Linked DNA regions of Drosophila melanogaster. The protein of the gene in region 2 purifies or fractionates together with the protein of the main gene of each other region. This does not show direct contact. Each region holds a gene or a part of one and is shown on either strand. Other genes may lie near its edges.

What was found.
Region 1: the proteins of imd (region 2) and Diap2 purify together in Drosophila melanogaster (affinity purification with western blotting; 2 studies listed by BioGRID). This does not show direct contact.

What each region holds. Positions count from the first base shown.
Region 1 is NT_033778.4:15,930,264-15,936,545, reverse strand, and holds Diap2 (Death-associated inhibitor of apoptosis 2), read left to right. Parts: upstream 1-1,720; 5' UTR 1,721-1,748; intron 1,749-1,828; exon of another isoform or gene 1,829-1,965; 5' UTR 1,966-1,975; coding exon 1,976-2,347; intron 2,348-2,726; coding exon 2,727-3,762; intron 3,763-3,825; coding exon 3,826-3,914; 3' UTR 3,915-4,376; downstream 4,377-6,282. Other genes in the region: Mlf (Myelodysplasia/myeloid leukemia factor), read left to right, coding at 1-86; bug (bunker gear), read right to left, coding at 706-1,565, 1,623-1,650.
Region 2 is NT_033778.4:18,407,841-18,416,866, reverse strand, and holds imd (immune deficiency), read left to right. Parts: upstream 1-3,267; 5' UTR 3,268-3,411; intron 3,412-3,437; exon of another isoform or gene 3,438-3,541; intron 3,542-3,789; exon of another isoform or gene 3,790-4,019; intron 4,020-4,510; exon of another isoform or gene 4,511-4,840; intron 4,841-5,280; 5' UTR 5,281-5,456; coding exon 5,457-6,116; intron 6,117-6,533; coding exon 6,534-6,695; 3' UTR 6,696-7,071; downstream 7,072-9,026. Other genes in the region: Dp1 (Dodeca-satellite-binding protein 1), read right to left, coding at 1-1,204, 1,272-1,522, 1,581-1,617; GstE9 (glutathione S transferase E9), read right to left, coding at 7,111-7,776; GstE8 (glutathione S transferase E8), read right to left, coding at 8,339-9,007.

The sequences.
Region 1 (6,282 bases), 2.5 Mb from region 2:
GCCAACAACGTGCCGTAAAACATTTTCACACGGAGGACGAAGCGGCCAGCTCCTACAAGGCGGTCAAGCGCGGCAAGAAGAAGTAGTAGAAACGTGATCATCTGTATGCCAACATCTTCCGCATCGCACACTCAAAAACACTAGGAAGCAAAGCGTTGGGTTCTGTTCCATAGCAGGAAAACCAATTCAAATATTTTTTAACAAACACAATTCTTTACCAGTTCTGTCTTATCCTGCGTGAGTCGACCAGAATGCAACACTAAAAAATGTACAACTTCAAGATGCTATTGATGTGCACGCAGGATACAGAACAACTTGCTTAAATTTACTTAAAACAAATGTGACTATTCAACGCCGAAATCATTACAACACACACTCTCAGACCTAATCGAAAAATTCAATGAAAGTAATGGAATATATATGAAATCGTAATTATAAGTTTGAATTATTTGATTAATTCTCAAGTTTTTAGATTTTGTTAGCCACTAAGCTTTAAATTATGGATGCCAGTTAGCGTGCAAATGAACACAATTGATTTGAAGGCTCCGAACGATAGAAAACAACAATTACCAATTCCCCAAATACATGTAATTCGTAAGGCCTAAGTAAATGTTAACGTGAATTTAATTAAATGGTAATTACATTATAATAGTAAATCCAGTGTTCTACTTATGCGACTTATAGAGAATTAAACGTATTAACTAACTAGTCCACCATCTCCATTTGCGTCTCCTCGGATTCCCGCCAAATGCGCTGCACCATCTCTACCAGCTGCTTCCAGAGCGCCGTCTTACGCAGGAAGTTGGCAAGGCAGACGAGAATAAAGGCCCAAGCCAGGCCCAAATAGTAATCCGTCTGCACAATGGGTTTATTAGACAGCGGCTCCATCTCTGCGCGAGTGAGGATGATCGGATCAATGGCCTGCGGATTCACAGTCTTCATATTGGTGTGACTCATTATGAAACTGGCAAAGCTGCTCTTTGTGTCCTTCCACCCGGGCTCGAATTTGATTAGCGGCCTGCCCTGGTGGAATAGCATCAGTGTGGGCAGCGAAACGATGCCGAATTCTGCATTGAAACGACCAAACTCATAGGCATCCACATAGGCGATGGGTAGCGTGGGAAAGTAATGGGGCAGCACGTTGACCATCGAAGCCACACGAGCGCACTCCAAGCTGGATGCGGTGCAGAAATGGACAAGTACACAGTTGCCCGGCTCGTGGCGCTTGGTGGCATTGCCCATGGGCTTAAGCAGATTCACTATATCCTTGGCACTGCGCATTATCAGCAGTTCCGGCTCGGATGCTGTCTCATTCTCGATATCCCGCTGCAGGCACTTCATCATAATAGGTGGCTTTCGAACCGGAGGCAGCTGGTTTAGGTGCATGATGTGCTCGTCATCCGGGGCACATGTGTGTCGCTCCTTCAGCAAGGTTTCGAAGCTATAATGGCACTGGCCCCGCGAAACTCCCAGGGAATACACCGTCAAATTTGAGAAGAGCCCGAAATACTGGAGGGCACTTAGTAATCCGGAGAGTTCCGCCTGGCCCTGCGCGGCGCAGAGCACTGTGGAAGTGGTATAATGTTACTGATTGAAGAACTCGATATAAATAAATAACGTACAAAATACAAACAAGAGATTTTGGTTCATTATATCGTTGGTTGGACAGCTGTTGAAATAGTTGGCTGTTATATGGCACTCGTGAAATACCTGGAAACTTCTTAGGTTTGGATATACCGAATAGCAAGGTAAACTGCTTGACCTTGTTTTTGTAAGCAGTGCCCATTAAGTTGGTATTTCATCGATGAAACATTGACGATGTATCGAAAAACATCGATGCTTATTTTTACATCGCTACAATAAGTTTATATTTTTACCTTACCTTATTTTCATTTTCGTCTGCGCTCGCTGGTGATTCCCTTGGTGGCATTACATCATTGGTGGATCCATTCGGATCCAATTTAGAAGCGCCACGATGACGGAGCTGGGCATGGAGCTGGAGAGCGTTCGCCTGGCGACATTTGGGGAATGGCCCCTGAATGCCCCAGTTTCCGCGGAGGATCTGGTCGCCAATGGTTTCTTTGCCACGGGAAACTGGCTGGAGGCCGAGTGCCATTTCTGCCACGTGCGCATCGACCGCTGGGAATACGGCGATCAAGTGGCGGAGCGCCATCGCCGCTCCTCGCCCATCTGCTCCATGGTTCTGGCTCCCAATCACTGCGGCAATGTTCCCAGGAGCCAGGAGAGCGACAACGAGGGAAACAGCGTAGTGGACAGCCCGGAGTCCTGCTCTTGTCCCGATCTCTTGTTGGAGGCCAATCGCTTGGTAACTTTCAAGGACTGGCCGGTGAGTACCCTGAGCTGGTGTCGCTCGCTTCTGGTGATTCACCATAGCGGGTCATTGTAATCACTATAGTTTCAGTTTCAAGCTCACTATAAGTGCATATGTAAGTATGATTGCGTAGTTAAAAAGTAGCGTAAATGAGGCCAGGAAAATCCCGGTCGAAAGTATCAATGATATTTTTGTATACAAACAAGAAATGTCTTGTTAGCTGCCTCAATTCAGCTGAATGTTGATTGATAATCCTACGAAATTAAGCTTTAATTAAGATATACAAAAATCATTATGAACTTCAAATGAAGTTATTGTATACTGTATAATTTCAAATATTTTTAATGACTGAATAAGATAGTTTAACTTTAGCCCAAAACGTCTTCCTTTGTAGAATCCCAACATCACGCCGCAGGCTCTGGCAAAGGCAGGTTTCTACTACCTGAACCGTCTGGATCACGTGAAGTGTGTTTGGTGCAACGGAGTGATTGCCAAGTGGGAGAAGAACGACAATGCCTTTGAAGAGCACAAGCGCTTTTTTCCCCAATGTCCTCGTGTGCAAATGGGCCCCCTTATAGAGTTTGCCACCGGGAAGAACCTGGATGAGCTGGGCATCCAGCCCACCACTCTGCCACTGCGTCCCAAGTACGCCTGCGTGGACGCCAGATTGAGAACCTTCACCGATTGGCCCATTTCCAATATTCAGCCCGCTTCGGCTTTGGCGCAGGCTGGCCTATATTATCAGAAAATAGGCGACCAGGTGCGCTGTTTCCACTGCAACATTGGATTGCGCTCCTGGCAGAAGGAGGACGAGCCGTGGTTCGAACACGCCAAGTGGTCGCCAAAGTGTCAGTTCGTTTTGCTGGCCAAGGGTCCAGCCTATGTAAGCGAAGTGCTCGCGACAACAGCTGCCAACGCCAGTTCCCAGCCAGCAACTGCTCCGGCTCCAACGCTCCAAGCAGACGTACTGATGGATGAAGCTCCGGCCAAGGAGGCCCTAGCCTTGGGTATCGATGGAGGAGTTGTGCGCAATGCCATCCAGCGCAAGCTCTTGAGTTCCGGCTGCGCTTTCTCTACGTTGGACGAACTATTGCATGACATCTTTGACGATGCGGGCGCAGGAGCTGCACTGGAGGTGCGCGAGCCGCCGGAGCCAAGTGCTCCTTTTATTGAACCATGTCAGGCCACCACCAGCAAGGCAGCATCTGTGCCAATACCGGTGGCCGATTCCATCCCAGCCAAACCACAGGCAGCTGAAGCAGTGGCGAATATATCGAAAATCACAGACGAAATACAAAAGATGTCGGTGGCCACGCCGAACGGAAACCTATCGCTGGAGGAGGAAAACCGCCAGCTAAAGGATGCACGCTTATGCAAGGTATGCTTGGACGAGGAGGTTGGCGTAGTGTTCCTGCCCTGTGGCCACTTGGGTAAGTCGCTGAACTATACCTTGATTGCCTTGAGCTGTAGCTAACTTCCTGTTAACCCGACAGCCACCTGCAATCAGTGCGCCCCCAGTGTAGCCAATTGTCCCATGTGCCGCGCAGACATCAAGGGATTCGTGCGCACGTTCCTTTCGTGAAGTGCATATCGACATCATTTAGAGTTCACCAGCCTAGTTAGCAGTTAAGCAAATCGATTGATTGCACCCACACAAACTACTACAGCGAAGTTCAAATTATCCGGTGATTAGCTAATATAATCGTCTACTAATCGTCTACTAAGTACTTGGCCAACTGCAGCTATTCGTTTTTACATTAGCTACGGTTGTAAGTTGTCGTTACTAACTATCGCATTGTGTCCGAGCGCATCCCTTTTGAACCATACATTATGCACGCTGAAATGACCTTATATAGATGAGCAGCTCTAATTCGCGCTGAAAAGGGTATCAATGCACCGGCACGACCGCAGATCACATGGATTTCTTGTTATAGTACTCTTATTAACACATGTATGTATTTTTGTTGATCATGTTTATAGGCCGCTGATAGTATGGTTTACACACAACTATATGCATTCTCCAATAAATGTATATGTAAATGTTAAAAAATTTGTCTTTTCAATTGCAAAAATTCTTTAAAATAATTTATTTATTTTGCTAAGTTTTAAATCCCAACGGTCTTCAAGTGATGTGCCCCGAGAGATTAGCCTATTAGCTTGCAACAGTCTGATTCCACTGCTCACAACTATCTCGATATCATCGCCATGCACGGTTCGATACTATCGATAGTAGCATCGATGTTTTGACGGCTCTACTCAAAAGTACCAAAATATTGGTATCCAAGCAATCGTTTTCAGCTCTCCGCGTGAAGTCGTGTGCGCTGCTCGTAAGGGAGCTCCATTGAGTTCTGGTCGCGAAAAACTAACAAGCTCCAACGCCAAGAAGTGCAGAAGATAGTGAACAAAATTTAGAAGAACCGAACCGAAGCTACGGGGAATTTTATGTGTGAAATCGAAATTACCAAACGCGCGCTCGTGTGAGTATATTCTGCGAGTATTTCAAAGGAAGAGTTCAAGTGTGTGTGTGTGTGTCTGGTGTTGCTGCTGCATTTTACGGAGTGTGGGCGCTTTATGCTCTTTATAGTGTGGTGTGGCAAGCAGTGGCCATATCCCCCCGCTACACCAGAAAACCCTTACAGTCCGCTACCTTTCCATTTTGGAATCTTCTTCGAAAAACACTTTTTCGTACGGTGAGAAACAAAGCGACGCACGCACACACACGTTCAGCGAGCGTTGCTTATCTAGATTGTAAGAGGGAGGGAGGGGAGAGAGAGCGCGACACGTATCTGAAAATCTCAATCTCACAAGTACACACCGTAATTTCGGTTGTCGAGCGTGCTGCGCATACGCGCTTGGCTTGATACCATTTCTCACATTTTCCATTCGGGTCAGTCGCTGGAAACAGCTGTGGGCTGTCCCCCCACCCCTTACCATTCCCTTCTAAAGAGAATGACCAATCCACCCATTAAGGTATTCCCCAGCGAACCGCAAAAGCCCAATCAGCGTTTATTTTTTATTCGGAATGATTATTCATTTAAAACTCTGGATAACCTGTATGTATGCGTGATGGTGTGTGTTGGCAATGTTTTGCAAATACATACAATTTCAACAGCGCATAAAAAAAAGAAAAACAAAAGCAGGGCGGGCTTTTTACCGTTCTCTTTCTCTTTCTTCCGCCTGCCAGAGGAGAATGCAAAAATAAACAAATAACGAATTCCCGCTATCTGGACTGCGAATGTGTTCAGAATTTCTATATCCATATATGTATGTATCCGTACACAACGTTTGTTTAGCAATTGACCCAGTGCTTCCCTTAAATATTGAACTCAATTGGAGGCGCAGTTACACGCGGTGGGCACTTTATTGACTGCATTACTCATATGCAAGTCCCAAAAGGAGGGGGATCGAATGCGAATGCCGCACCCCGTACTTGCAGCACTTATCTGTCTACGAAGAAATTGCATAAAACGTGCCGATCTCAACGTTTGATGTTTTACAAGAGTAGCTGGCATGGTGGTAGATAGCTGAAGTACAGTGAACTGGCGCTATGCGAGTCTGTGCTTGACCCACAGAAGTTACTGTCAAAACATTGCTTATAGATTTTGATTAATCACTTGTAAAGTTCATTAAACCCATTTAGGCTCATTACAAGTGATTAAGGTTTTAAGTGCCCTTTTAGCTTAACTCATATGCCTAATACATTTTGTACATCATTAAGTCACAAAGCAGTTTAAATTATGTTTTGAGCTACTTTATTAAAGAGAGTAAACCCTGCGTTTTTGTGTAGTTTTTACTAATGCCAGTTACTGTTAGCCGGTTTTCACTGTGCCAGGGCTGCGGCACCTGCACGCATCGCAGATCGAACCGTTGGAAGCCTCGCATCTCGCGATCAGCATAAGTTGCAACCCTAGTCGCTCACTAACATACACACACAGGCAGACATGCTGCTC
Region 2 (9,026 bases):
TACGGATGTTGTTCTGGCCCTCGCGCTCTTCGATGTTAATGTTAACCTTCAGTTCATCCTTCAGGCGATTTACGTTGGCTCCAGCCTTACCGATGATGTGCTTGTAGTACGAAGGATTAACCGTCATCACCTCGAATGTGAAGTTCTCCTCGTAGTTTTTGATGATTTCGGACAAGTAGGCTACAGCCCTGTCAACGTTCTCGGGATCTCCCTCCAGCTTGATCTTGTCTTCCAGGCAATTCACGTTCACGTTGGGGCAGTCCTCCTCCAGCTGCTTCATGTTGGCCCCCTTGCGACCGATCACATACTTGTGGATCCAATGTGCCGCATTGATCTCCACAGACTTGACCGAGTTGGACTTTTGGTAGACAACGGTTAGGGCATTTCCCAAAGCCACTTGCGGCCCACGCAAAGTGATCGTCTCCGAGGGGGAGTCATTGGGAGGCATCTCTACAGACACACCGGTCAACTGCAGAATCTCGGCGATGGTGGAGCCCTTCGGACCAATGACATATCGGTGCTTGGGCTTAGCTACCTCCACACTGACGGTAGAGCACTTCTTTTCCATATCCTTGTAAATGGCCTCCACCTTGGCCTTTGCCGCTGCGACCGCGTCCTTCTCGCCCGAGATGACGATCTCGTCCTTCTGAACCTGCTGCGGCGGCACGTTGATCCTAGCGCCGGTCTCCTCCTGCAGCTTATTTAGGTTCTCGCTGTAGGGGCCCACGATGAAGGGATGGTAAACTTTGGGCACCGTGATGCGGTCCGATGACTTCTTGTACTGCTCGGCTGACAGCTGACGGATCTCCTGCTCGGCCTGGGCAATACCCTCCTTGGTTCCGGCAATCGTGATAAACTCGCTCTCATCGCTCTGGCTGGGGATGTTGATGCGCGTCGCAGTAACACGCTCGATTTCGCGCAGCCGTTGGCCACCCTTGCCGAGGATGACGCGGAAGTGCTCCCGAGGAACGGTCACCTGCCGACTGGCCTGAGTGGAGAAGCCCATAAGAATCTTACGGCGGGCATCGAGCAGCTCGCTCTGCTTGCCCTTAATCAGGAAGGTCAGCGACTGGTTCTTGCCGCTCACAATCTCGATCTGGGCTCCGGTCTCCTTGGTGATCTGCTGGCAAATACGCTTCGACTCGCCTTCGCCAAACTTCTCCGACTCCGTGGACTTGCGCTCCTTGCAGGGAACATGCACAATCTGTTACAAAAAAAATTGAAATCCATAGAATCAGAACCAAATCAATGTATGTCTTTTTCGAGCTTACATGAGTTTTTTGGGAACTCGTCACACGAGCTAGAGTCGAACCGGAAGCTCCGGATTGCGATTGAGCCGAAGTGTTGGCCGGCAGGGCCGGAAACAGGTCGTCGTAGCTAAAGGCGGGTGTGGCATTGCCAGTTCCGCCGCTAGTGGTACTAGTGGGCGTGGCCACTGAAGTTGGCGAGGATGGTTGCTGCTCGTTGGCCACCTGCTCTTGGCCATTAATGAGAGCGATGGGCTGCTGCTCGATGGTAGTTGCTGCATGATGATTTTGGTTAACAATTGCTTGATAATATTTAGCCTTCGAAGAACTCACCGTTGTTAGTTTCCTCCATCACTGCTGCTGCTTGCATTACTTAAAAAAAGAGAAAAGTCCTTTTTCGTTCCAAGTCGTTTACAGTACACTGAAATTGAAAAGTAGAAGATATCTTATCAAGTGCATTAAAACGTTTACATCATACTGGACCCTATAAATGAACCTTGTTTATCAGCCAGCGATAAAGCAAACAACCAGGAAGGAAAAATTTCTAGGGGATTATCGAAGTGCTGGTCGATCAATCAAAGAACAAATAGTTAAATGGCATTCTTATTTTGGCAAACATGGATTAAAATAGGCCCGTTTAGCTACAGTTTTCATCTGTTTCTGTTGTCAGTCGCCCGCAGACTTACCAAAATCGCAGATAGTTGATAAGTGCGACCTCCGAGGACCCGCATTTGGCTGCGACCAACTGATAAGGAACTACATAAGTACATACACACTTTAGGACCGCTTGGCTACAGTAAACAAATTAGTACAAAGATAATTCATTGGATATGCGGCGTGACTTATGTACAGGAAATCTAACAAGTTGCGTTACTATTGCTTTCTTATAAAAACGTCAAAAGTTTGCAATTTTTTGTTTGCTGTTTTCCATTTCTTCTTAATTTGTGAATGGAAGAAATTTCCAATAACATCCAATACTACATTTAATAAAATATCTATTAAATTAGATCATAAATTATTCATTGAATTCACCTCTGTAGCTTATATTCGTAAAGTTTCCTTCGACTGAATGCAGAATCATTCCGGGAAACCATGTTGCATGCCCCACTGTAAACAGTGCGTGTCCAAAGGGGGTGCATGAAATGGATTTTCTGGCGTTGATAAACCGAAATAGTCTCTTTTCAAACGAGCTTTCTGCACCACAGCCTGAAACTAAGGCCACGTAGTGCTTGGATCTGCGAGATGAGTGCTCGACACAACTCTCCGCTTTTCGGTGGTGATAAGTGGACGCGGCCGATGGGCCACGCAGGCAGATTCCGGGGCTGAGTGATAACTATCGGCCGTTCTGGCTGATAAGCTCAGTCGTCCGATTGCCACCAAGATATTGTGGTACGTACACACACAAACACACAATGCTACAAGTGCGCTTTCCGAAATTTAGGCTGCTATCAGTCGGATTTCGATTGGGTGAAAGGTTGGGGCCTCGCGAATGAGAAAGAGAGATCTCAGCCGAGGAGCAGCAGAGACCATGCACTTGTTCGACCAAAGCTGTTTTCTAAATCCATGCCCAACGAGTTTTCGTAGCCTACATTTTCCTCTCTACCGAAAGAACAACAAAGATATGTCTGTCTCCTCTCTGTTAGTTGTGTCTTTGTATGTGCGGACAGCGGCGGTGGCAGGGTATGTGTAAAGGGGGCCTCTTACTTTTAAATCATACGGTTTTGTAAATTTCAATGAAAGCTTAATACATTTATATATTACAGATAACAATGACAACTGCAAGTGACACCAGATCATTATCCCTAACATTTAATAATAGTTTTTCATTTCAGAATTAATTTCCCAAAAAAATAATCACCTAACGACGAATCTGTTTGTGCTCATGAAAAATGTGTCAAATACAGAGACAAGAGCACGAGAGCGACAGGAACAGGGAGAGGAGAGAGCGAGAGCTTGACGAAGTAACTTAACGGAGCAGGGGAGCAGCTCCATATAAAACCGGATGATAGCCGGCAACTACAACAAAACGATCGAGCAGTGCCAGTGGTGTATTGTATGCATGTGAGTGTGCTGTGCCTGTGTGCCTGCACATTTCTGTGTCGCTCTTTTTCTTCTTCGGGAATACGGTTGTGTGTGTGTGTTGCCACCTTTCGAGAAGGCACAGGTAAAAAACGAAAACAAGCAACATACCTACATAGCAAATACCATCGTTCATACGTTCGTATGTGACGCCTGCAGCGACGCTGACGTCGACAAATGAAGACAAAGCACAATAACAATGCGCTAAAGTTCAGCTTTAAACAAAAAACCAAAAAAAAAAAAAACATATATACAAAATTGGTATGCACATATCGGATGGATTCTTGTTTCTGTAATTTCGATACAAAGATCCCAAAGACCAAAAAAAGAAAAGCTTGACGTAGTCAGTTTTAGGCATGAAACCGTTAACTTGGACGACATTTGTTGTCTTTTTTTTGGCAAAACACTTGTGTAAAATGTTAAACTATGCAAATTAACTCTAGGCAAAGGTTGTTCAACTTACGGTACTGTAAAATCCAAAAAATCCGGCCGAGTTTACTCTCCTTTGACCAAATCCAGTTTGATAACTTGGGTGTCTGCTGGAAAAGCCGAAAAACAATTGCTTAAAATTAATGCAATTAGCGGATGCAGAAGATCGGATCGTGGCATCACCAGGATGAATGCCCTACAAATCATTTAGTCAGTCATTCTGCGTTATGCACATCCCCAATAGAAAGTCTAATGTTATTTGTCGCAGAGAGCGCGTTGTTGCAGAGAGCACGGTGAAGGAAGGGGAGGGGGGCAGCATATGCGGGCCACTTATTGGACAATTGTTTTTGTGGCAGCAGCGGAGGCAAAATTGGAGCAGCGCGTGGGCGTGTTTGTGTGCGTCTGTGTGTGTGTGTGAGAGTATGGAAATGCGGAAATCAGTGCCGTATGCTTTCCAGGTGAAAGGTTGTGTGGATCCTCTTTTCCGGCACGGGGCGGGGCCTTAACTCTGCCTCCCCCTCTCGAAAAATAGGAAAATTAAAGTAAAAAAAAATAAAAGGCAGCACGCGCGCCTTCCAATCGGACAAATATGCTTATATATGCACGCTCACACGTATGCACGGGATTTTACGTCCCTATGTGAGCGTGTGGGTCGTCGACGTCGCCGACTTTTGTGACTGTGTGGGTGAGCGCGAGTGCGCCGTCCGTGTGTATTATCAACCATTGAAAAACACGTTGTTTTTCGCCGACCGCACACAAATTTGAAGAAAAATTAGCGGCCCGAATTTTCTTTCATCGTTTTTTTTAATTCGCCACTGCCGTCTCTTCTTCTTCTGCTTGCTCTGCCGTCGCCGCCCCACCGCTGCCGGCCCTTTATAACTGTAAATCCGTGCACTCTCTTTCGCTCGCCGCAACTTATGCAATTCCGGCTGCAATTATACCGCCGCACGGATCACCGAGCAATGTGAGTTGATTTTCGCACTGGAATCTTGGTAAATTCACACCCAGACTTTCTATTGGAAGGCAGAACGCACGGACGCGGAACTCAACGTTACCGACTCCAAGTAAAATGTGAATGAACATGAGCGAACGTGGCAAATAGAGATGGGCGATACGCCGCAGCGGGTGCAGGGTTGTCGCTCTTACCAATCGCAAGCGCGAACTGTCAAATCGAACTATCGACTATTGGGTCTATTACCATGGCCTTCTTTTGGGGATTTTCAAAAATTAATTAAAGAATTATTCAATAGTAACAATAAAAAAAATATATTAAAAAAAAACTTAGACAACAAACACCAGTTTTTAAAGATGATAATCGTTATTATGGGGGTTTCCTTATATGCAAATTAATAAAGATTAGATATAAATGCTTAAATTTTTTCCTTATATGCACATAATGATTAAGAATTAAAATTCAAATGTTAAGTTTTGTATGTTAGTCAAATATAATTGATTTTTTCAATCAGACGGAAAAGACAAGAAATGCTATTTAGTTGAATTTCTTAATAAAACTAAAAATTTTTAGTTGTAAGTGAAATATCGGTTGATAATCGGCTCGGAATATCGATAGTCAGGTCCATCCTTGGCCTACCACCACCAAATTGAAAAAGAGCAAAGAAACACAAAGGCAAAAAACTCCCCAATCTGTGGAATTTCCGGAAGCGAGAGCACATTCAAAGCTACCAGTTATCAGCGAGCAGCATGTCAAAGCTCAGGAACCTGTTGCCCACAATCTTTGGCGGGAAGGAGGCACAGAATCCGACACCCGTCGAGGGACGCCTGGAAAAGGACGCAGCTCCCGTGGACGACAACGAACCAGATAACAACAACAGCGGAGCCCTGGCGCTGCCCTCCACCGCTGGCACGCCCACAGCCTCCTCGGATCTGACCGAATCCGTGCTGCGCGAGCTCAGCGACCCAAACTACAATTCAATGGATGTGGTGCATTCCGCCAATATTCCGGGCACTCTCAGTAACGTCCAGACAAACAACACCATGAACGTACACAGCGCCCAGCAACAGGTGGTCATGAACTTCTCGAATGCCAATAATCTGCACTTCGGCTCCGTCTACAACTTCAACCAAAACTTGAGCGCCTGCAGCTCGCGAAAGGGTAGCACCAGTACCGCAGAGGAGTCGGTCGCCTCTCCAGACGGTAAGCCGCGGGCAAGTGCGACGCGCAAAACGGTCAGCATTGTGGCCATGATGCAGTCACAAGAGGAACCGGATGTGCGCCTGCTCGATGTGGTTTCCACGCACTTGGGCGAGGGCTGGAAGCAGGTGATGCGGGATCTTGGCATGTCGGAAGGACAGATCGACCAGGCCATAATCGATCACCAAATGCATGGCAATATTAGAGAGGTAAGGCCCCTGAAGTTTAAACTTCTCTTATTTGTTGTTGAATGTTGATTCAAGAACAGAACATACAAACTCAAATTAGTATGTAAAACAACAGACTATGCTAAGATGATTGTGACGCATCAGACTAATTTAATGACTCAAATACCACTATTTCTGTTAGATTTCATTGCTTGACACGAATGGATTGTTCAACTTAAAAAAAAAAATAATATAAATTAGCTTACATTATTGTGAGCTATTTATTTTATATAATACTGATAGTGATTCCACTTGTTTGTCTGATTAGATTGCAAGTTATGGTGTATAAATGTCACAACTCTGTTGTTAGAGTACCAGAAGATTTTAATGATTTTTAAGAGTTAGAAAATCAATCATAAAATCAGAAAATAACACTTTGCTTTGTGTCTACGTCTATAGGTGATATACCAGCTGTTGCTCCAGTGGATTCGAAGCTCGGCGGACGGTGTGGCCACCGTTGGACGACTTACTACACTGCTGTGGGAGTCCCAGCATCGCGACTGCGTGCAGCGCATGAAACTGGTTTGGAAGGCACTGGAGAAGCGCAAGACAAACAGCTAGTCAGTGAGTGAAACTTGCTAGCAAAGATTCCAGAACGAAAACGATGCATTCAAAGTGGCCCCTTGATGTCCAAGCCAGCCGGATGGTGAAAACTGGAAATGTTTAACCCACCAACTTTTGCTAAATTCAGAGCGGCCTTTGACAGAAGACATCGAGTGGTAGAGAGAAGAGACGAACACGGGATATATGTGCAATATTTGATTTATAAATCCAACCTATCGAATAAGTGCGTAGAATTGCATTAACTGTTATTACTGCAGTTTAATCTTTAAGTTGTGATACTTGTGTCGAAAAAAAAAACCAGCTAATTGAGCTGGTATTTAAAAGCATTTTTGTAAAGTTTATACAAATAGAAGCTTTATTGTTACGTAATCAGAACACGTTGCGTTTGTAACCTTTAAGCTAGTGCAAACAATTACACAATCTTTGTGATCTTCGAACTGAACATGTCGATCAACATCTGTGCCCCATTGCCATTGAGCGACTGGTAATTGGGCTGTGCGGCCATTCTGTCTAGCCAGCCGTTTAACTTGGGATAGCGCTTGGCATCGATAGCGGCCAATCCCACTAGGCTGGAGACCGAGGAAACTACACTGTAGTCGGCGATGGTTATGACCGGTCCGCAGAGGTAAGCCTGATTACCGATGAACGCTTCCAGAAAGTCATAGGCCTCGTAGATGGCATCAATCTGGGAACGCGGCACCTCAGTTATGTTCTTGTAGAACAACGGAATGGCTATGTTCCGGATGCAGCCCTGGAATAACACACCCGACTCAAAGTGCAGGCGCTGATCAACGAGTGCGCGTTTGAAGTAATCCTTGGGATACAGGTCATCACTCTTGGCATAGCGTCTAACCAGATAAGCGCAAATGGCGTGACTCTCCCAGATGAACTTGCCATCGTCCTCCAGCACGGGTACCGTGTGCTGCGGATTCTTCAGGCTGAACTCCTTCGTCTTGTGCTCACCGGCCAGCAGGTTCACCAGCCTATACTCATACTGAAGGCCCAGGGCGTCGAGGGTCAGTTTGCATGCTCGCACCGGCGGACTAGCCTCTACGCCGTACAGTACTAATTTTCCCATCGCTTCAGGTGTCCGCTCGCCTTGGCTGTTGACTTGAAACTAAACCAGCTCCGACTATCGCAATTATCGATCGGATGAACTTACAGCTCATTTTATTTCAATTTATATACGCTACTTGCGTATTCCATGCTGACTCACTCTTGTCGTTCGAGATAATTAGCGTTCCTTCTGATTGGCATAATATTTATTTGAATATGCCATTTTTAGAGGGATTCTGTGTTCTTGAAGACAAAACACCTATCTATTATCAGCATTTTCAGCAAAGCTATCTTTGCTTGTAGGATCGATTAGGTAATCTCCATGGACGAGTTCGACTGAGCCACTCCATGAGGTGTTAAGTGTTTTGGTTTGTCTTATCATATTTGTTTGAAATGTGATGGAAAATTCTTCCACTTGACCTGTTTAATTTGTCTTCTTACAACCGAATCAGGTGGCGATTTTTAAAACTGTCTATTATCATAAAATAAAAATCATAAGATAACAATATTTGAAGAATAGTCTTAATAATGTTTTATACAATTATTAAACATTATTATTACAATTATATACTAAGAATAAATTATTAAGTTGAGAAGGTAAAATTGAATTTCTTGAGGAGGGTCACCAAATCCCGGGCACCTTTGCCACATGCCTCCTCGTAATAGGGTAGTTCCTCAATCCTCTTGATCCACGCAGTTATATTGGCGTATTTTACTGTATCGATGACCACGAATACCGCCAGTGCGGTAATCGATGTGATTAGGCTAAAATCCGCGATGGTCAACTGATCACCGGCAATGAAATCGTGTCCGGTGAGAAAAGTCTCTACAAAGTCGTAAATCTCTATGACGGCATCGTAACGCTCCTTGGGAATCGTCGTCTGACCGGTCGCAAAGAGCGGCTTGGTGATGCCTCTCAGTCCGTTGACAAAGACCACGCCGGACTCGAAGTGCAATCGCTGGTCCACCACAGCGCGTTGGAGGAGATCTTTCGGATAAAGAGTATCACTCTGGCCATACTTGGACACCAGATATGCGCTGATTGCGTGTGAGTCCCAGATGAAATGGCCATCGTCCTCTAAAGTGGGCACCGTATGCTGGGGATTCTTCCGCAAGAACTCGGGCGAAAGGGTCTCCTTGGCCAGGGTGTTTATTTTGACGTATTCGTAGGGAATGCCAAGGGCGGCCAAGGTCAATTTGGCGGCCCGAACTGGAGGACTAGCCTCTGTCCCGTACAAAATCAGCTTGGACATGCCGTCTAGAGGTTGAGCC